Linked DNA regions of Oryzias latipes. Each later gene encodes a partner of the first gene's protein in a complex. Links are inferred from orthologs where the notes say so. Each region holds a gene or a part of one and is shown on either strand. Other genes may lie near its edges.

Evidence for each region.
Region 2: virma (region 1) and cbll1 share a complex: the UniProt entries of both Homo sapiens proteins name them as parts of the WMM complex. The link is inferred for Oryzias latipes from reciprocal best matches to the Homo sapiens genes VIRMA and CBLL1.

Annotation. Positions count from the first base shown.
Region 1 is NC_019874.2:17,770,461-17,774,289, reverse strand, and holds part of virma (protein virilizer homolog), read left to right. Parts: intron 1-340; coding exon 341-427; intron 428-1,350; coding exon 1,351-1,399; intron 1,400-1,490; coding exon 1,491-1,650; intron 1,651-2,812; coding exon 2,813-2,932; intron 2,933-3,829. UniProt on the Homo sapiens protein: Associated component of the WMM complex, a complex that mediates N6-methyladenosine (m6A) methylation of RNAs, a modification that plays a role in the efficiency of mRNA splicing and RNA processing.
Region 2 is NC_019881.2:9,402,604-9,405,911, reverse strand, and holds the end of cbll1 (E3 ubiquitin-protein ligase Hakai), read right to left. Parts: coding exon 3,273-3,308; intron 3,198-3,272; coding exon 3,124-3,197; intron 2,119-3,123; coding exon 1,137-2,118; 3' UTR 823-1,136; downstream 1-822. UniProt on the Homo sapiens protein: E3 ubiquitin-protein ligase that mediates ubiquitination of several tyrosine-phosphorylated Src substrates, including CDH1, CTTN and DOK1. Targets CDH1 for endocytosis and degradation.

The DNA.
Region 1 (3,829 bases):
TTGTCTCAGATTGATCAGATTGATCTGGTCGGATCGTAAAAACATAAATTGATTAATCGATTCATGGATTAATAGTTGCACCCCTAATGTGTTTTTGTAAGACGTTTGTTCCCTCAAAAAACATTTTTTTTGTTCTGACTTAATAAAGTAGGAGGGATGCTTTGTAAATTTTTAGGTGTTTACTCATGCTCCGCTAATGCTAAACTAATGCTTCATAGCATTATTGCTCACTAAGTCATTATTCTGATTTTTTTTTTAACTTCATATAATTTTCCTGATTGGAAAAGCTTCACAGACCTTATGATTTATTTGATGTAGACATTTACGTCTTACTTCTCAGGGAGACTTCGCCTCATGCTTTCCAGTTGGAACTGTTCTTTAATAATGTTGCCAAACCCAACGGCCCTACCTTCCACAGACTGGGCAGGTCAGTGTTTCTCTTGTTTGTTTTTTTTTTGTTTTTTAACTGTCTTAGCCTGTCAAAGTCATTCACTTCATTTCCTTGTGAGGTTTACAAAGATCCCAGGACACAGAAGTCTGTTTCACTGGTGGAACCGGTTAGAGCAGCATTTGAGTCCTTTTCTCTTCTAGCTCGTTTTGAAATCGACCCTCCTGGTTTCTTTGTTATTTGTGCTCATCTAGCTGGTCTTTCCAGAATTTCTGCTGCACCTTCACTGTAGCTAAAATTGACAAAGATAAAGAGGTCTCACTGAAGGACAAGATTAATGTTCTAGTCAAAACACTTTTATTCTAACCTCAATAACTGGGATGTTCACAGTAGCACCAAAGAGTTAAACTTGGGTTTAGGATTATAAAAATATGTGAATGTGACACACCCAAGGTATTTTTCTGTGTGAGTAAAGTCAGAATTAAATGCTCCAAAATTTGCACCATTGTATCTCAATTATTTTCTTTCTTTTTGAAGTAATGTTATCATGTTTTTAGTAAAAAATCATTTAGTTTGGTCAGATGATGTAGTTAATGAAAGGAAATCTCCTACTAAAACATTTTGACTTTTAACTTTTCCAAAACAATATGCTATAAGTGCTAAAGCTTGAATATTGGGTTTAAAAATGCTAATAATCAGAATCATAACCCAAAATTTAGTTTAGGATTTCTAATTTTACAGATTAATTAAGATTTCTTAAATTGCTTTGAATTAGAGATTTATTAGATCATTTCAGTGTTTTGGCAGTGATACCCAGCCATGGCACAAATGTTTTTTTATTTTTTTTATTAACAGTAGGTAAATCAGTTTTATTTATAAAAATCTGATTTTTATTCAAATTTTGTAATGTTCTGCCATTATTATTATTGTTTAACTTGTCATGTTTTGCTTTGTGTCCTTAGTTTGGAATATGATGAGAACAAGTCAATTGTGTTCAGGCCCAGTGGAAAGGTAAAGCGTTTTTTAATTTTTTATTATAAAAGAAATCTTGACTTTTGTTTTCTGTTGATCTGGGGATAACTGACTGGGCATTTATGGACAGGTGAACACAAACGGCCTTGTTCTGCGTGGATGGTACACTAGTCTGACTCTGGCGGTATATGGGACTGCAGAGCGCTCTCATGGCCATGATCAAGGCTCGCCTCCTCCACCACCTCCACCTCCTCAACAACCAGCTGGACCCAAGAGGATCATTAAACAAGGTTGACTCATATTACTCCTTTCTGTTGTTTTCCTTTAAGCAATATGTTTTTGAGTTACAAATGATTATTTAGTTAGTCATTTGGGTCAATAAATAAAGAATTGTACTAGCCACTGGTAAAGTTTTCAGCTGAGCCCAAAACAGTAAAAATTACAAGAATTAATTTGTTTGATTCAAACCCAAGACCCCAACTTTCAGTCCAAAGAATTTGGATTGTTCTTTTTGGGTTAAATTAGCACATGAAGTGAAAGAGTTTTAACATCCTGTACTGTTTTTCTCAACAGAAGTACAAAAACAGAGTTGTGCTAATATGCAAAGCTGTCGTTTTACTGGTCTGTCAACATTACAGTGCTCACCTATAGTCCCAGGGTCTGAATAATGACCAAGAGAGTGAAATCATAAGCACAGGCTGCCAAGAAGAGCATTGTCATGTCGTAACATCTTTTTACCCTTGGGGGAAGTGTCAGTTATAGTCTTTAGGAGAATTTACTGCTTTTCTGCCTTAAAATCACTGTTAAAATGGTTTGGGCTCTTAGTAAAAATGCTTTCACACACCTTTTGAAAATGGCACTTCTGACATGTCCCACCAATAACACCCCCCACACGAGCTCAAGGACCAGCTGGAAATATGTTTTTGTCGTCCTGGCACTATTATCTAAGAGCTAGCAAAAATAAAGGGGGAGAAGAAGACCATTACAATCTCTGTTCAGACTGGACCTGGTCCTAAAGGGATTGTTTTTTAATAGAACCAATGCCCTTGTTAGATTTTTACCAAATCACCACTTTGAAAGCACTTTCACCCCTCTTAACCAACTTACACCAACAAGAATTGTTATTTTCGACACATATCCTCAAATCAAATCATATCACACTATCTGTCACACCTAGGTGTGTGAAATTTGTTCTTTGCATTTGACCCATCCTCTGGGGGAGCGGTGAGCTGCAGACACAACTGTGCTCAGGAACCATTTGGTGGATTTAACCTCCTAATCCAGCCCCTTAATGCTGAGTGTCAAGCAGGGAGGCATTGGGTCCAATTTTTAAAGTCTGGGATTGAACACACGACCTTCCAGTCTCAGGGCAGTCTCACTCTAACCACAAGGCCACTGAGCTGGTACAATCCTAATAATCCTAGTAATATCCTGACATTCCATGTCTTTCAGAATGGGAAAAAGAGGACCAGTACAATGGCAGCCCTCCTAGACCAGCACCTAGAGGACCTCGGACTCCACCTGGACCTCCACCTCCCGATGATGATGAGGAGGAGCAAGTCCCAGCGGCAGGTAAATCTCAAACACACTTACATAATGTATATATTTGTAATCCATCCTTTTTTAGAACTAGAGTTGCTTTTTTTAAACATAATTTTCACCCAAAAATTTGCAAACGTAATTTAAAGGTTTAATTTCAGTAACGTCACATTTATCTTTTGCACTCCCTTCCTATTGAATCTACAGTTGAATTTATTGCAGTTTTTTCAAGTCTGTTTTTCTTTCTTATATCTTATCTCATGTAGATTAATTTGAAACTGTTTGCGCTGATTATGAGTAAACATTTTTTATTTCCTTTTAGGCCTACAGCCCGCATTCATTAAAATAGGTGGTCATACAGTCTTAAAGGCAGAGCAGACATTAATTCTTAAAGGTTGCAGCAAAATCAAAACAGTGATTCAAAAACCTAAGCAGGTGAAAAGTCTGAATCTACGATGGATGCATTGATGCATTGAATTCAGAGAATGTTTTAGATTCTTTTCTAGTACATGCCAATATAGATATGATATATATGTAGGAATTGTAATCTGCGTGACTTGATTGACTGCCTCCTTTTTTGGCAAAAATTAAGTTTCACTTTAGAGACTTGAGACAATTTTAATTCAGTTCAGACACTTTGCAGCCATGTTTGAAGACGGTACAACACAATTTACAACAGCTCATCTCTGAAAAAAACGTCTGCTTCATACACATTTTTGATAAGTCAGCAGCAGTTAAATAAACCGCATAAAGCAGGCGTGTGTGTGTCAAAGCATGTCAGAATGACATTAGGGGTCTGTAAATGTTGCTGCAACCTTTTTAAGAGAGTATACTTATTTCTATGTCATTCTATCATTTTCTCCCTCTCTGTTTTCCATGACAGGAGAAGGAGTATTAAAAATGAAACATCATTAAAAAAAAAAAAACGCA
Region 2 (3,308 bases), on another chromosome or scaffold:
TTTTTTAAAACATATGAAGAGACAGAGGAGATTGGTACTGTGCTGTGGGTAAAAAAAAAAAAAAAGTGTTTAGAACCCAAACATCCATTAGCACACAGAGTGTTATCAACATTGCAATAAAGTTTCTGTTTGGTGGAGTCTGAACATTCTTCTACACACTTGAAAGTCATGAAAGTCTGCTCAGACTCACACAAACCTTTTAGACACTGGATTTCATGTTTTTTCTGTGCCTGTTTCATCAACTCCATGACTTTTTAAAACACGCAACTTCTGACATGAGCAAGGACCTTTGGCCTTACATTCCAACTCTACTTAGCGAGCGATGGTGCTGCCATTCTCCCATCTTATGCCTCAAAGCAAACATGCAATGAGGACCCAGCTGTGACTTGCATTGTTTTCAGAAATCTTACAATTTTACAATTACACTCAAACAAGTCAAACTAGAATGTTAATAAGACATGACAATTTTTTTCATAACTATTGTGGGGGAAAAAAAGTCTTGCAGTTAAGACACCAAACGGTAGCACAAGTACAACTTTTTTGTGAGACTGGCATAAAAGTTTGCATCATTGTCCTCTGATACTTATTTCATCTTGCTGCAGGTTTTTTTCTATTTATAAGTCTCTAGTTTTTTATTAAATGTTGCAAAAAAATTGAATTTCTTTAAAGGAAATAAAAAACATACAGCAAAGTCCTAACATCTGGGTTTCCTAAGCTTTTAGGAGATCGCATTTAAAACATTTTTTTTTTTATTACAGCAAAAAAGAACTTCTGATGTAATCAACTCAGCTGCTCCCAACTCATCAAATAAAGACAAGTAGGTATGACATGAAAAGTTTATTGAGAATGAACGTCTTTCACTTCAGCATTGACATCAGCAGACGTATATACAGAGATCCTTTCCAATAAGCTATTAAAAAAGGGACATTCCTGCTCTTCTCCAAATTATTAGTGCGCTCATGGGGAAGTGGAGCACAGGTAACTAAAATGTGCACCATACACACATTTGAATGTGGGCAGTTTTATCCAAATCAAAGTTCTACATCCTGAAATCCTGAGGTTCACTATCACATTACTTAGACAAGCGGTATGGAAAAGAACAACACCGACGACTTCCCACTCAACCAGCTTTCAGTTTACTGGTAATAAGGTCGATAGCGGCCCTGATCTGGGTGATGGGGGCCTGGCATCTGTCCCTGGGGAGGTGGACCCTGCATTCGAGGAGGTGGGGGCCCCCTGGGAGCAGGCCACATCCCAGGACTGAGTCCTCCTGGCTGGTTAAACGGAGGGCTGAGGGTGCCCTGGTCTTCAGGGAACGGCTGCATGGAGTTGGGGTTGTAGTGGTGAGGTGGGGGGGCATTCACAGGAGGTCCGGTGTGCTGTGGGGGAGGTCCTGGAGGTGGGTGATTTATATAGGGGGGCATGATGTGCCCTGGTGGGGGAGGCGGGGCTGTAGACATGGGGGGAGGAGCCTGGTTGTAGACCATGTGTGGTGTCCCAGAGCCCTGGGGGGGGTGCTGCATTGGGTGACTAATAGGAGGAGGTGGACCAAAGTGCTGTTGAGGTGGCGCCATCATGTGGTGAGAGTGTGACACCACAGGCGGCTGCCCAGGATAGTCTCCAGGGTGGTGATGCGGGGGCTGGCTGGGGCATGGCCCACCAGGATGGGAATCCCGTGATGAAGACGAGTCATCTTGAATGGGCACTGTGATGAGATTGCTGTGTTTACGAGTTGTTACAGTGGCAATGCGAAACGTCTCTGGTCCCAGAGATGGAGTTGGGGGAGGCCCGTCATGGGGGGTCGGTGGAGGCGGCTGACTGTAGGGATCGTGACTGCTGTGCATTTGGTTTGGGAGGTGGACATGGTTCTTAGGGATGTGAGGAGGAGGCACACGGAAGCGATCAGAAATTTCAGGTGCTTGTGGCAGATGCACAGGATCCTGGCGGCCCGAGGAGGACTTGGTGGCTCTCATGTGACGGTGGTTCACGTGGGCTTGGAGGTCCCGCTGGGACAAGTAGGTGCGCTTGCATCCTGGTACAATGCTGCACATGTAGAGGGACCCTCGCTGGCACTGCTCGATGCGCTGAACTGGATCCGTGCAGTTATACAGACTGAGACTGAACACACATACAACAGTTGAGTCTCTTCAAACAGAAACCATAAAACTACAGGTTACGAGCAGCTTTTGCATCACACGTGTGTAAACCCTATCAAAATTCTCGAAATGTCAAAACAAATTTTTTTTCAATGACACTGTTTCCTTTAGATCCTAATTATGTGAATAAATACGAACCTACTCACGCGATAAATCATTAAAAAATATGGCGAGAGATGTGAACAATACTTTGACAACAGATCCAAATTTCTGCCATAGCACCAACGCTCATCATCATTTATCAGAGGAGCTGTGGACCCAACAATTCCACATGACACGCTCAACTTTTGATGAGCTGTGTGACGCTTTGGGACCTCTGGTGGCGCCCGCTGTGCATTCCCCAAGACAGCCAGTTCCTACCAAAAGACGCCTCGCCATCCGGTTGTTGGTCATGGGGCTCATTTAGTTTGAAAAAAGTGTTTCCATTGCAGTTTTGTGAAATATGTCAATTTGGATATGCCTCAAAAACAACCACCTCCAAGCACAAAAACTTTTTCTTTTTGATAAATACTAGCTTAATGTCGTGTTTCAATCAGGTAAATTTATTATCCTAAATCTAATTTGCGCTATTTCATATTCAACGAAATAGACTCGTGTGAGGGAAAAAAGTTACCCGTAACCAAGAAAGTGTTTTTTTTAAGGCTGCATTAAATCATAGCTTCAATGCTTAATAAATTGTTTCAAAACATTTTTCACTTAAAAGTGCTTTATGTTTCTAATTTTGCAACCACAAATGAAATTCCTCCAAATGTAAATTTACAGAGCAAAAATTATTATACTGCCATATATATATATATATATATATTTTTTTATTATTTTACTAATATTTTCCAATCTTTTGTCAATTTGTTAGTAACTTTTCTATTACGTTTTGTCATTAAGCAGCCACATAAAAAAACTGTTTCCAATTGTTCAATTAACAGAGAATTAAACAGAACTACACATTGAAGATGGAAACATGTCTCACCCTGGACACATCTTCTCGCCTTTCTTCTCATGAAGCAAAGCGCAGTCATAGCAGAAAACATGCTTGCAGGGAATCTGAAAGATGCAAGGTCAAGAGTTAAGCAAGAAAATGTTGACTGAAAATGACAGAAATTGAAATTCTGCACATACCATCCGTCCATAAAGTTGAATGGGGAGACCACATTT